Callithrix jacchus: one gene and its partners. The protein of the gene in region 3 interacts with the protein of the main gene of each other region in a pairwise test. Links are inferred from orthologs where the notes say so. Each region holds a gene or a part of one and is shown on either strand. Other genes may lie near its edges.

Region 1 (5,385 bases), on a different chromosome or scaffold from region 3:
GGTCTTTTCTGCTGCCAGATTCTGGGAAGACAGAGGAAGGAGCTTGCAGGGAAGCAAGAGAGCCAGCCTCCAAACCCTAAACCCATCCAACCTCACCAGAGGGATTCAGAGAATTGCCAGCCACAAGCCACACCCAACTCATCCAATTTCTTTTCAAATAGGACTTGAAAGCCTGGAAGCTTCTTTTTTTTTTCAAGATGGGGTTTTACCATGATGGCCAGGCTGGTCTTGGTCTTGAACTCCTGACCTCAGGTGATCCACCCACCTTGGCCTCCCAAAGTGCTAGGATTACAGGCATGAACCACCACGCCTGGCCTTTTTTTTTTTTTTTGAAAGCCTGGAAGCTTCTAAGACCCTTAGATCACAGAAGAGACTCCCTTCTCCCCCTCCATATTTAACAGCCCCACCCCTTCCCTACCTCCCAGACCCTCCACAATCACTCACGATCACATCAAACTTGGAGTAGATGTCCACCACACGCCCTAGGGGGACAGAGGCAGCTCAGTAAGGAGGATCTGGCATCTAAGACTCCCCCTACTCAAAGAATCACCCTCCTGGCTGAGCTGAGGGGAAAACAGATTTTCCTAGAGCCCCCCTAATTTCCCTGGATCTTCCCTCCCTCTCCTTCTGCCCAATCTCTTACCCTTCTCATCCACCACTGGCAGAGCTGAGACTCGATGCTGTACAAAAATGCCCAGAGCCACATAGACGGGGGTAGTAGTGCGAACCATAGCAATATTGGCATAGGTGCCAATCTGTAGCTCTTCCAGAGACTTGGACATGAACTCTGGCTTGGGAAATTCAGTGATCTGAGGAAAGAACCATCAACTTAACTTTGAAGGCATGCAAAACCACTCTTGGATAGCCCTCCAGTCCAGTACGTAGAAATAAGGGCTGGTTGCGCCAGCTTATGCCTGTAATTCCAGCACTGTCAAAGACTGAGGTGGCATATTGCTTGAGCCCAGGAGTTTCAGACCAGCCTGGGCAATACGGCAAAACCCCATCTCTAAAAAAATACCAAAAAATTAGCCAGGTGTGGTAGTACACACCTGTAGTCCCAGCTCCTCTGGGGGTTGAGGTGGGGGTAATCACCTGAGCCCAAGAGGTGGAAGCTGAAGTGAGCCGTGATAGCGCCTCTCCACTCCAGCCTGGGCAACAAAGTCAGACCTTGTCTCAAAATGAATTAATAAATAAATAAGAACTGGGACTGGATGCAGTGGCTCACACCTGTAATCCTCATCTCTTTTTTCAACAAATAAATAAATAAATGAAAAAAGAGAAAAAGGAACTGGGCTGAGGAGTACTTACAAACAATTTGAGGAACTTCAGAATGCGCTTGTGGGTGAGGATGTACAAAGTATTGCCCGATTCTGGGTCAATAACTGGCAGCCTGTGGATCTTGTTCCGAATTAATGAAGAGACAGCATCAAACAAGCTGTGGGAGGGTGGGAGATAATAAGTTCCACAGTACTGGGGCTGAGGGTGGTTAAACTGCTCCATACAGTGTACAGGTAACAGGGAAAACTGATGGTTAGGGAAGCGGGGCAGTGTACAGGACAGATGAGAGAGAGAGAGAGAGAGAGTGTGTGTGTGTGTGTGTGTTTTCTCTCTTCTTTCCCTTTCCCTGGGTGTCTAGAGCATTAGCTATGCTGATGGCAAATCTCTTCCCCCTTTGGACAGATGAATAGACAGCTGGAACTCACCTGGCATTAGGAGAAATGCAGACAAGCGGTTTAAAGGAGTCCTGGAGGTACACCTCTGAAGGGAAAAGGGATGGGTCATAAAATACCACCATGGAAAAGCGTTTCCCAGAAACCTTCCATCCCTTTATCTTTTTACAACCCCAATTCTCTACATACCTCTCCAAGTTTCTATCTTGTGTTCTTCTAGCTCATAGATCTGTACCTGAAAGCAGAAGCAACAGAATTTGAGACCTGAACTCTCTACTTCCTTAAGCCCTTGTGGCTTGCTTGGAGGAAAAGAAAGGAGGAGAATGAGGGACTTAGGGTAGAGAAAGTGACTTTGTTCATTAGGCTGAAGTTCCTTACCAAGGCTGATTTATAGTAGCGGTGCAGAATATTGATGAAATCAGTGATGGTCAGCATACCTAGAGGACAAGACAGAGCCCTAAGCACTGCCTGAAGCTTCTATCCCTGCCCAGCACAAGATGCTAATAATACTGTGTTGCAGAAACGTTGGCTTACCCACAAAACTTTGCTTCTTACTATCCCATAAAGGGGCAGCTCGTACACCGTTAGTCACCAAAGCAAAGAAAGCTTTCTTCACCTGTAGCCAAGACAGAAATAATCATAAAGGCAAACCCATAGGGGCAAGACTGTAAAAAAGAACAGTGTTTGAGCATGTTGGGCAAAACATGAGACTAAGTTCACAGAAGGATAAGGATACTACCCTTGGGATGAGACAGGATGAAAGGTATTAAACCAAAGCCTCCAAAAGGGGAAGGGAAAAGAGGATTTCACCCACCTGCAGGGATGTATCAAATACAACCAATTTGGAGCTTGTGGGAATCAGGTCATAGCAGCGATGAGACTTCATGAAGGAAGTATACACGCTATTGTTGGATTCTGGGGTCTCTGCATAGGGTGGAATAGTTAGTAGCTTCCTTCCACATTGAAAACTCCCAATCAAAAGAGACAGAAAACAAAATAGTGTTCTCGTGTCTCAAATATTTAGAGCATGATTTTTTATAAGGTCCCTTATTTTATCTTTTGTTCCTATTGTTTCCACAAAGCCTGGATAAACCTCTTAGAAACCATTTCATCCAACCCCTATCTCCAGATTAAGACTTTATCTATTGGTCCCTATAGGTATAAGAAAGTTAACTAAAACCTAAAGTCTATAGTATCTCTTTAACATGTTATATATAAACTTTTTTCTCATCTTTAATCTAAGCTTTCCCTTTCATATATTTAGCACATTTTTCACTCGTTCTCTGTTTTCAATGAAGTAAGCTTCTTAAAATTCTTTAAAGACTGTGCTGGGCATGGTGGCATGCACCTGTAATCCCAGCTATTCAGGAAGTTGAGGAAGAGGATCATTTGAACTCAGGAGTTTGAGGCCAGCCTGGGCAACACAGCAAGCCCCTGTCTCAATTAAAAATATATATATATCCTGGCCAGGCGCGGTGGCTCACGCCTGTAATCCCAGCACTTTGGGAGGCCGAGGCGGGTGGATCACGAGGTCAAGAGATCGAAACGATCCTGGTCAACAAGGTGAAATCCCATCTCTACTAAAAATACAAAAAAAAATTAGCTGGGCATGGTGGTGCACGCCTGTAGTCCCAGCTACTTGGGAGGCTGAGGCAGGAGAATTGCTTGAACCCAGAAGGTGGAGGTTGTGGTGAGCCGAAATCGCGCCATTGCACTCCAGTCTGGATAACAACAGCGAAACTCCATCTCAAAAAAAAAAAAATAACCTAAGACCTGCAAATGGGAAAGTCATGGTCCAAATTGGGCCAGTTCTGATCAACAGTAAGTTAGAGCCCAGTGCTCGATCAACCTGGCTCAAAACACCTTGAGAGTACATTTTGGGATCACCCTGTAAATCAGAAATCATCCCACCTACTTGAGACAAATGGGAGATCCTGGCTAGGTTTACCTTTTTCTGTTCCTGTGATTTTAATTGCTTGCTCTAAACTAGGGAAGCAATCTCCCAAAATAATAGCTTGAATGTGCTACATACTATACTAAATGTACTTAAAAATATTACATTGGCTTGGTGAGGTGGTTGATGCCTGTAATCCCAGCACTTTGGGAGGCCAAGGTGGGTGGATTACCTGAGGTCAGGAGTTTCAGACCAGCCTGGGCAACATAGCAAGCCCCTGGCAAACATGGCAAAACCCCATCTCTACTAAGAAAAAAAATACAAAAACTAGCCAGGCGTGGTGTCATGCGCCTGTAGTCCCAACTACTCGGGAGGCTGAGGCAAGAGAATCGCTTGAACCCAGTAGGCAGAGGTTGCAGTGAGCCGAGATCCTGTCACTGCACTCCAGCCTTGGCAAGACAGTAAGACTCTGTCTCAAAAGAAAAAGAAAAAATTACGTCATTTAAAACTTACAACAAATCTGTAAGTACTGTCCTGTTTCAGATGAGAAAACAGGTGTAGTTAAATAAGCTGCTCAAAGTCACTCCAATGCCAATGAGTGGCAAGAAAGACTCAAACTCAGATCTGATTCCAAACTTCATGCTCTTAAGTCTTTAGCCAATTTGTTTAATTTTTTTTAACCAAAGTTATACAGGCACACAGTTTAAAGAGTCAAACACATTTACAAATTTTGTTAAGAAAAAAAATGCAGTCCTTGCAACCTACCTCCCTGTACTACCCTTCCCCAGAGATGAGAACATCCACCTCTTTTAGTTGATTATTTTGGTACTTAATTCTATGTCCTTAAATAACATGCTTGTATTGCTAGTTTCAGATTTTTTTTTTTCATTTTGGGGCATTATTTATCATCTACCTACGAAGGAAGATGAGAATTTCTATTTCTCTTTCCTACTAGGGCTTCATCACAAACATGTACTTCCCATCCTTCCCCTACTTCCCATCCTCCCCCTACTTCCCATCCTCCCCATTCTTCCAGGAGCTAAAACATATTAGATATATCTGTATTTAAATCCTTTTTTTTTTTTTTTTCCCCTGAGAGGGAGTCTCACTTTGTCACCCAGGCTGGAGTGCAGTGGCAAAATCTCGACTTACTGCAACCTCAGCCTCCCAGGTTAAAGCAATTCTCCTGCCTCAGCCTCCCAAGTAGCTGGGATTACGGGCGCCTGCCACCATGCCCGGCTAATTTTTGTATTTTAGTAGAAATGGAGTTTCACCATGTTGTCCAGGCTGGTCTCAAACTCCTGACCTCAAGTGATCCGCCCACTTCAGCCTCCCAAAGTGCTGGGATAACAGGCATGAGCCACTGCAGCCAGCCGGTATTTAAATCATTGTGACTGAATGTTTATTATTCAGAGATAAACCGAATAGTAAACTGATTTTTTTTCTTCCTTTCACAACTTTGTCTTCCCTGGAGTTAATGGTCTTGTCCTTCTGTTTAATTTTCATTTTTTTGAGATAGTCCTGCTCTGTAGCCCAGGCTGGAGTGCAGTGGTGCAACCTCTACCTCCCAGGTTCAAGTGATTCTCCTGTCTCAGCCTCCTGAGTAGCTGGGATTACAGGCATGTGCTACCATGCCCAGTTAATTTTTATATTTTTTAAAGTAGAGACAAGGTTTCACCATGTTGGCCAGGCTGGTCTAGAAATTCTGACCTCAGGCAATCTACCCGCCTCAGCCTCCCAAAGGGCTGGGATTACAGGCATGAGCCACCACACCCAGCCTGTTTGTTTAATTTTCTATGTATAATTCCCATAACTAATCCA
Region 2 (4,443 bases), on a different chromosome or scaffold from region 3:
TCAGGCCAACTTTTGGATCCAACATGGTCTTAAAGTCCATGGTGCCAGAAGCTGTGATCCATCCCTTCCCTCCCGCCCCTAATTTCTCGTGTGAGAGGTGCTTATAAGTCCCACATTTGAAACAGATGCTCCAACCCCACCAGGAGGTCAGGAGTTTATAATTACATGCAGTCATACATGTCTGTCGTTCCTGTGAAAAACCTTGCAGTTCATTTTAATAAATCAAAACATTCACATAATCTCATGCCATCCAACACAAGGAAAATACGTCCACCTCCCTTTTAACAAGGACTGACCCAAGCAAAAGAAAATCCTCTTTAAATTTCTTCGCTTCCACTTAAATTGCATGTTTTATTCTCCCAATCCCAGCAAGAGCACAGAAGCCCCATCATATCCATCCCAAACTGGTTTCGAGTAGGTTAAGGTTATAGGGACCTTTGTCAGAACATCGATACAAAAGGCTCCCAAATGCTGGGCACAAATGTGTCTGCAAACAGATGGAAGTAAACAGTGCACTGGCCCAAATGCTTCATGAGTCAGTTTGATTTTGCAATGCAATTTGCATCCTTGAAACTGCCAGTCTGGAGGGGGACGGGGTAGCGTGAGGGAGTGAAGTTGAAATTGCCTCCTATTAGCTCACCCTTTCAACATTAAACAGAGACCAAGAGAGAAATGGTTCCAACATTTCACCACATGTATTTCTTCTTATGCAGTCTAAGCTGAGAATGCCATGTAAATGGGTCACTGCGAAATGCAGCAATTTAATTTTTTCTCCAATCAAAATAAGAAACAAACCAGTATGATCTCACTTCTATTAACTTTTGAAGGTTTACAGCAGTTAAAGTATTTTTGCTTCTATGTATGAAGGTTAAAAAAATCATTTTTTTTTTTTCATAAAATACAAGAGCAACCAATTTCACCATCGAGTAAAAGTAAAAACTGGGATTCTTTTTTAAATTAGTCCAAAGTGGCATTTAGGAACTTAGTTGTAGGCTGCTGCGCTGACACCATGACAAACCAAAGTGTAGGGTTGGGTCTGGTTTTGTTTCGGTTTCTTTTCAATATCCAATGCTCATGGATTAAGTTCTGGAAATGTTCCAATTGTAAGGCAGGGATCTGTTTGGATTCCACCATGGGTATGCTCCTTGGGTTGGATGCTGGAGGGTGAGGCACGTTTTGCCGGACCCATGTCGACTACCTAGTAGTCATCAAGGTCAAAAAATTCATCGTCTCCTCCTTGGTATTCCATTCCCTGGAAATCTACTCGGTACCGCAAGATACCTGGGGAAACAAACCAAAAGGTAAATTACCGTGTTCATGGAATGGGCCATTGGGTGTAGGGGGGCTGGTCACTCTAATAAGGGAAGCCCTATTCTCTTGCAGAATTATAGAAGAGGTAATAAAAAACATTGATCCAAATCAGGAACCTGCACCTGCTGCCTCAATTACCCATCTCAGTAGATAATGAGCACCTCACCTGAAGCAGGGTGAACCAGGAGGGGCCTTGGCCTGAGACCCTGGTTTTAAGTTTGGTTTGCTGATTTTCTACTCACCTCCAATTCCACCAAAGCCTTTCACAAACTGAGACCCTTCTTGTGATTTATCTGTGACAATTTCCAACGTAGCTCCAAATTTTTTATAGTTGTTAGCAAACCATTCCAACAGGGGCATGCTCTCAATAAGCTCATGTTCCTGTCCGGTCTATAGGGGTGACCATGAGATACAAAAATGGGGGATTAGGATATTATCAAGGCTTATTAGGCCCTCTCACAGCCCCTTGCCCAACCATCGCTCTCATCCTCCCACTTACATGTCTGTCTGTGTGTAAAGTCTGTAAGTAATCTCTGGTTTTGATAACATAATGGACATAAGCAGATAAATTCAGATTATTTCAAACAACACTTCTCTCCTCAGGCTCTATCCTCAGCAATGAAATGTCAACACAAACACTCTGGGTTTTCAGCTTATGATTCCCATTGTTGACTCTAGAAGTCAGGCTGTTGTAGTATCTTATCTCTAAGCAGCACTCATTGAATGGCCCAGAAGAGACATGCCAGGACTACTTTTGGGAGCAGCCTTGTAAAGAACAAAGCTCTTCAAATCAGAATTTGAGGAAGGTATGATTTAAACCTATCTCATAAGGGAGTGTGATACTTTAAACTGTGGTGATGCATTTAGAGCAAACCAGAGAAGCCACTACAGTTAAAGAGATGATAAAGTGAAGAAAGCAGCACAGGTTTCACAGTGCAGGAGAGACATTATGCAAAGTAAATTTTCCTCTCTATTAATGATTTCAAGGATAAAGAAATTTTTCCTGATTGCTTAACTAATTAAAAACACAAAACAAAAACAGGCCAGGCATAGTGGGTCTGGTGTGTAATCTCACCACTTTGGAAGACCAAGGCAGGAAGATCACTTGAGCCCAGGAATTCAATACCAGCCTGATGAACACAGCAAGACTCAGTTTTTTTTTTTTTTTTTTTGAGACGTAGTTTCACTCTTGTTACCCAGGCTGGAGTGCAATGGTGCAATATCGGCTCACCACAACCTCTGCCTCCTGGGTTCAAGCAATTCTCCTGCCTCAGCCTCTCGAGCAGCTGGGACTACAAGCGCGCGCCACCATGCCCAGCTAATTTTTGTATTTTTAATAGAGACGGGGTTTCACCATGTTGACCAGGATGGTCTCGATCTCTTGACCTTGTGATCCACCTGCCTTGGCCTCCCAAAATGCTGGGATTACAGGCGTGAGCCACCACGGCCGGCCAAGACCCAGTTTTTATTAAAAAAATTAGTCAAGTGGCTGGGTGCGGTGGATCACCTGAGGTCAGGAGTTCGAGACCAGGCTGGCCAACATGGTGAAACCCCATCTCCAATAATCTATGATTGTGCCACTGCATCCATCCTGGGTGACAGACCAGGACTGTACCTCAAACAGAGGCTGAAGTAGGCCGGGCATGATGGCTCATGCCTGTAATCCCACCACTTGGGAGGCTACTGAGGTAAGCAGACTGCTTGAGCTCAGGAGTTCAAGACCAGCCCGGGCAACATGATGAAAACCCATCTCCATAAAAAATTCAAAAGTTAGTTGGGCAAGGTAGTGTACAGAAAGGCTCAGGCAAGAGGATTGCTTGAGCCTAGGAGGCTGAGGTTGCAGTGAGCCAAGATCGTGCCTTTGTACTCCGGCTTGGGTGACAGAGTCAGCCTGTCTCCAAAAAACAAAACAACAAAAATAGGCTGCAGTAACTATGATTTGGCCTCCCTCCCTGGAATCAGAGATGATCACTTCCTACAGTCCCCCAACAACCCCAATTAATATGTGGTTTGGTTTCCCAAGGCTGACCCTCTACACTCCCAGTGTACTCTAACACATGGATTTATGCTTGCATATATCATCAAACCAAGAAAATAATCACATACCTCTTTGTCTGTGAAATGAGATTTATCCTTTTCTTGCTCTGGAGTTAGATAGAGAATTTTCTCCTCTGTAGTATTAGGAGGAAAAAATATGTTAACTTGGCTCTCATATACTAATCTGTATAAGCTCCATAAGTTGAGATTAGATGAGAAAAGGGCTCAGGGACTTGATCTCTCAACCTTTTTTCCATAAGCATGTTAGCATACATTGAGTGTCTACTAGGTACAATGCTTTAACCATAAGAAACATCAGAGATGTTCAAGATGCAGTCCTGGGCAGATTTAACAATCTTAAGTAGACATTAAACAGTTCAAGCAGAAAAATCTATGCAGGAATGTGCTACGGACTGAAGGAGCGGGGAACAAGGGGTAGATCTACTTTCTGATTGTTCCTGAAATCAGCCACCTTCCCCCAAATCTCCACCCCAGGCTTCCTGGGTCAGTAAGAAATACCAACTTTATTTTCTTTTTTCAACCAACTTTATTTTCTAATTCTCCTACCTTCTGTGCCTTGGCAATGAAGAACATATCTCATTATATCCAGATTTTCATAGACTATTAGAATTTCTACAGCTCCCATTTCCAAAGCCTTTAGTGTATCTTCAACGCCAAAACAGTATTTGCCCGTGTCCTGGCTGATTTCATCAAAGTATCGTCCTGTGATTAGGGACAAGTCAATAGAACATACATTAAAATTTTCTTAGATACAAACACACCTACTTGACCTAATGACTAAAGAAGATAAAAAATAATGCTTTCACTGAGGCAAAAGTGTTAATAAAAATGCTAAATTCCTCTCTTTTTACCTTTTTGATGCCTTGTCTCATACAATCATGTACATACATACATATGCATACACACACCCCCTCCAAAAACAAAACATTTCACGGAATATGTAGTTGCATTTCACTTATACCTATTAATTTCTTCTCTTGAATGAATTTCACGTTGGAGAGGACTTCAGTAGATAACTCAATAGCTTGGTTGAATCCATTTTCACCACCATAGGATATATCAACTAATTTTAAA
Region 3 (4,820 bases):
CGTTGAAGCCTTTGCGTGTAATTCTGAGAAAACAGAAACAACTTAACCATCTGTCCCTAATGGAAGAGACAGAACACCAGGCAGCTGGTTACAGGAATGTGACGCCACAGATGGTCTAGAAGATCTGAAGGAAAAAAGGCAAGTTGCAGAATGCAGGCAGCATCATCCATTTGTGTAAAGGAACAGAACATTGCTGCAAAGTTTTTCTGTTTGTTTGTCGTAAGATTAGAGTGGGGCTGGAATGGTGAGAGAGTAAGATTTGCTATTTTACAATTAGCCAGGCACGGTGGCAGACGCCTGGAGTCCCAGCTACCTGGGAGGCTGAGGCACAAGAATTGCTTGAACCTGGGAGGCAGAGGTTGCAGTGAGCTGAGATCCAGCTACTGCACTCCAGCCGGAATGTCAGAGGGGGACTTGGTCTCAAAATCAAGCAATCAAAATGTGACTTCACCAGAACCCTGCCTGCTGGTCCCTCAATACATGTAGTCCCTCAGCTGCAGCATCTGGCTTACCTGTGGTGTGGCCAACAGCCCTGGTTTATGTGGCTTGGGGGCTGCCAGCCTTTCTATGCTCAAACTTGGATAAATGGGTCACCCAGCCCGAGGTCAGGCATCACTGCAGGTTCGTTCACCACCATCTCCCCAAAGCCCAGAATAGGGACTCAAAAGAAGTTGGTTTTTGTGGAGTTGGAAAGTGGGTGTAGGCCGGGCAACATGGCAAAAATAAATTACAAAAAATAAATTAGCAGGGCATGGTGGTCCCAGCTATTGAAGAGGCTGAGCTGGGAGGATTTCCTCATTGCAGTAAGTTGAGGCTGCAGTGAGCCGTGACCACCCCACTACACTGCAGCCTGAGTGACGGATGAGATTGTCTCAAAAAAAAAGAAAAAAGAAACAGCTGATACCAAAATTGCTTAATTGAATTGACTAAACTTTTTTTTTTTTTTAAAAAAACAAGGTCTCGGCCAGGCGCAGCTCTTTGTGGGCTGAGTGGGGCAGATCACCTGAGGTCAGGAGTTTGAGACCAGCGTGGCCAACACGGCAGAACCATTTTCGTCTCTACTAAAAATACGAAAATGAGCCGGGTGCGGTGGCTCATGCCTATAATCCCAGCACTTTGGGAGGCTGAGGCGGGCGGATCACCTGAGGTCAGGAGTTCAAGACCAGCCTGACCAATATGGTGAAACCCTGTCTTTAAAAAAAAAAAAAACGAAAATGGCCAAGCGTGGTGGCTCATGCCTGTAATCCCAACACTTTGGGAGGCTGAGGTGGGCAGATTACCTGAGGTCAGGAGTTCAAGACCAGCCTGACCAACATGGAGAAACACTGTCTCTACTAAAAATACAAAATTAGCTGGGCATGGTGTTGGGTGCCTGTAATCCCAGCTACTTGGGAGGCTGAGGCAGGAGAATTGCTTGAACCCAGGAGGTGGAGGTTGCGGTGAGCCAAGATCGAGCCATTGCACTCCAGCCTGGGCAACAAGCATGAAACTGTCTCAAAAAAAAGAAATTGACCTTGGGGAGCCCTAGGAGATGTGGAGATGTCACAAGGAATTAGCTCCTTTGTCTTCCAAGGCAGCTGAAACTTAAAGACAACTGTGTGGCTTGCTGATGGGGAGAAAGATGCCCTACATATCAAAATGCGACGGGTAAAGATTCCAAACTGGTTTCAATGACCAGCCCTAAGTCAAAGAGAAGTGTATTTCAGGAGAAGAGCCCTTTCTGTCTCCGGGTTTCAGACCTTCAGCCGAGAGCCAGGGTGAAAGACACTAGTTAGTCTGTTCTTTATTTTCCTTGGAAAATTACAGGGTTACTTATCAACAAAATAACTGTCCAGGGAAGTGCCATTTGGTGGCTTGTATGTACAGTTCCATCCCTAGGAACCGTATTTCCAGAGGGGGCCTCCCCGTGAGGCCCCCTTGGCACCCTCCCAGGTATCCAAGAACAAATCATAAGGTGACGGCTGCTGGAGTGGGTCGGACCCAGGCCTACTGCTGGGCAGAGGGTTTGGGGGCCTCTCTCCTGGAAACCTGCTCTTCTCACACCCCTGTTCCCAGCCAGGCTGTCTTGGACACTCCTGGGGCTCTGCTGAGGGCACATGGTTCCTGCTTTGGACTTCTTTTGAGATGTCATTTTAACACTGAGGCATCCCGGCCTCCCTTCCCAGAGGATGGGTTATTTGCAGTGCCGTCTTTTCTTTCAGTCCCGGTTTTTATACAAAAACAACAATATTCCCCATTGGACTGTGTTTTCGTCCAAGAAACAAAAGTGCCTCAACAGGTACAGTTCTGCTGGTCGATCTGCTTCCGACAGGGCTCCATGGTGACAGCCACGCCCACCCCACTCCGGCCTGATGTCATTCGGGTCACCTCACTCCAGGTGTCTGTGTCTGGGTCATAACACTCCACACTGTCCAGGAATGTGTGACCGTCATAGCCTCCTACAGGGAGAACAGAAGGGACGGTTACCACCTGTCATGCCACATCCAAAAGCAGGGGACAGAAAGAGGGAGAAGCAGCTGCAAGATACAAAAGCAGGCCGGGCATGGTGGCTCACACCTATAATCCCAGCACTTTGCAGGGCTTAGGCGGGAGGATTGTTTGAGGCCAGGAGTTCGAGGCCAGCCAGGGCGACATAGCAAAACCCTAGTCTCTTACAAAAAAAAAAAAGGCCAGGCATGGTAGCTCAGGCCTGTAATCCCAGCACTTTGGGAGGCTGAGGCAGGTGGATCACTTGAGTCCAGGAGTTTGAGACCAGCCTGGGCAACATGGTGAAGCCCTGTCTCTACAAAAAAAGACAAAAATTTAGCCAGGCATGGTGGTGCTCGCCTGTAGTCCCAGCTACTAGGGAGGCTGAGGTGGGGAGGAACAGTTGAGCCTGGGAGGCCGAGGTTGCAGTGAGCAGAGATTGCACCACTGTACTCTAGCCTGGGAAACAGAGTAAGACCGTGTCTCAAAATAAATCAATAAAAATAGGCCGCTCATGGTGGCTCATGATTGCAATCCCAGCACTTTGGAGGCTGAGGCGGGCAGATCACCTGAGTTCAATACTATCCTGGACAACATAGTGAAACCCTGTATGCACAAAATGTACAAAAATTAGCTGGGCTTGGTGTCGCATGCCTATAATCCCAGCTACTTGGGAGGTGGAGATAGAATGTTTAAACCAGGGAGGAGGAGACTGCAATGAGCCAGTGTTGTGCCACTGCACTCCAGTGTGGGCAACAGAGTAAGACTTTCTCTCAAAAGTAGTAAATAGATAAAAATTTTAAAACATAAAACAAAAGCTGGACAGAGTGGCTCACGCCTGTAATCCTAACAGTTTGGGAGGCCGAAGCAGGTGGATCACTTGAGGTCAGGAGTTTGAGACTAGCTTGGCCAACATGGAGAAACCCCATCTCTACTAAAAATACAAAATTAGCCAGGTATGGTGATGTGCACCTGTAGTCCCAGCTACTTGGGAGGCTGAGACAGGAGAATTGCTTGAACCTGGGAGGCGGAGGTTGCAGTGAGCTGAGATCGCACTATTGCACTCCAGCCTCGGTAACAAGAGTGAAACTCCTCAACAAAACAAAATAAAAAGAAATAAGATTAGCCAGGTGTGGTGGGTGCATGCCTATGGTCCCCGATCCTTGGGAGGCTGAGACAGGAGGATGGCTGGAGCCCAGGTGGTTAAGGCTGCAGTGAGCTGTGATCACACTACTGCACTCCAGCCTGGGCAACAGAGCAAGACCCTGTTTCTTTTCTTTTCACTTTTTTTTTTTTTTTTTTTTTTTAAGAGACGGGGTTTCACCATGTTGACCAGGATGGTCTTGATCTTTTGATCTTGTGATCTGCCCGCCTTGGCCTCCCAAAATGCTGGGATTACAGGTGTGAGCCACTGCGCCCGGCTTTGCTTTTCTTTTTTAGATGGAGTTTTGCTCTTGTTGCCCAGGCTGGAGTGCAAGGTGCAATTTCAGCTTACTGCAACCTCTGCCTCCCGGGTTCAAGCAATTCTCGTGCCTCAGCCTCCTGAGTAGCTGAGATTACAAGCGTGCTCCACTATGCCTGGCTAATTTTTGTATTTTTAGTAGAGACAGGGTTTTACCACGTTGGCCATGCTCGTCTCAAACTCCTGACCTCAGGTGATCTACCCGCTTCAGACTCCCAAAGTGCTGGGATTACAGGCGTGAGCTACCGTGCCCAGCCATGAGACACTGTTTCTAAAAAAAAAAAGAAAAGAAAAGCAAAAGCAGCCACCTGTCCACAACAGATGAGACTAGTCAGGACTCTTCCCCACCCCCAGGGCCTCACCAAGGACGTAGATTCTCCCCTGGTGCACAGTGATCCCCAGGGCACTTCGCCGGTGCTTCATGGGGGCCACGAACGTCCACGTCTCTGTTTCCACGTCATACCGCTCCACGCTGTTCAGCTGATCCTGACCATCATAGCCCCCGGCAGCATAGATACAGTTGTGCAGGACGCAGACACCTAAAGGACACCGTGCACAGAAGGTGATTCTGGGGTCTGGCTTCAGGAACCCCAGCCATCACCTCCTTGAGGGAGACTTTTCCTCTCTCCTCTACCTTCTCACCCTCAGAAATGAAGTGGGAGAGAGAGAAGCTTGGACTCCATCAGAATCCAGTGCTTCTGTGGGTACCCAGGGTGAGGGTGACAACAGGGGGGTCTCTCCCAGGCCTGGTTCAGTTTCACCCTAGGATGATGAGGGGGTGGTGGTCCTGGACGCTCCCCTCCCTGCCGTCCTCAAGTACCTGCCCCGCTCCGGATGGTGTTCATGGGTGTGATCATTCGCCACTCGTTCCGCTCTAGATAATAGCACTCAG

Evidence for each region.
Region 1: the proteins of KEAP1 (region 3) and PRKAG1 interact in binary tests that used the Homo sapiens proteins (3 or more experiments, as listed by UniProt). The two-hybrid records come from large-scale screens. The link is inferred for Callithrix jacchus from reciprocal best matches to the Homo sapiens genes KEAP1 and PRKAG1.
Region 2: the proteins of KEAP1 (region 3) and ETF1 interact in binary tests that used the Homo sapiens proteins (3 or more experiments, as listed by UniProt). The two-hybrid records come from large-scale screens. The link is inferred for Callithrix jacchus from reciprocal best matches to the Homo sapiens genes KEAP1 and ETF1.

The regions. Positions count from the first base shown.
Region 1 is NC_133510.1:70,552,941-70,558,325, reverse strand, and holds part of PRKAG1 (5'-AMP-activated protein kinase subunit gamma-1), read right to left. Parts: intron 2,595-5,385; coding exon 2,485-2,594; intron 2,287-2,484; coding exon 2,205-2,286; intron 2,108-2,204; coding exon 2,049-2,107; intron 1,906-2,048; coding exon 1,860-1,905; intron 1,759-1,859; coding exon 1,704-1,758; intron 1,436-1,703; coding exon 1,309-1,435; intron 810-1,308; coding exon 644-809; intron 483-643; coding exon 445-482; intron 22-444; coding exon 1-21. UniProt on the Homo sapiens protein: AMP/ATP-binding subunit of AMP-activated protein kinase (AMPK), an energy sensor protein kinase that plays a key role in regulating cellular energy metabolism.
Region 2 is NC_133503.1:36,922,434-36,926,876, forward strand, and holds part of ETF1 (eukaryotic peptide chain release factor subunit 1), read right to left. Parts: coding exon 4,331-4,443; intron 4,072-4,330; coding exon 3,916-4,071; intron 3,483-3,915; coding exon 3,418-3,482; intron 1,702-3,417; coding exon 1,554-1,701; intron 1,282-1,553; coding exon 1,199-1,281; 3' UTR 1-1,198. UniProt on the Homo sapiens protein: Component of the eRF1-eRF3-GTP ternary complex, a ternary complex that mediates translation termination in response to the termination codons. The eRF1-eRF3-GTP complex binds to a stop codon in the ribosomal A-site.
Region 3 is NC_133523.1:9,671,213-9,676,032, forward strand, and holds the end of KEAP1 (kelch-like ECH-associated protein 1), read right to left. Parts: coding exon 4,749-4,820; intron 4,468-4,748; coding exon 4,291-4,467; intron 2,439-4,290; coding exon 2,272-2,438; 3' UTR 1,759-2,271; downstream 1-1,758. UniProt on the Homo sapiens protein: Substrate-specific adapter of a BCR (BTB-CUL3-RBX1) E3 ubiquitin ligase complex that regulates the response to oxidative stress by targeting NFE2L2/NRF2 for ubiquitination.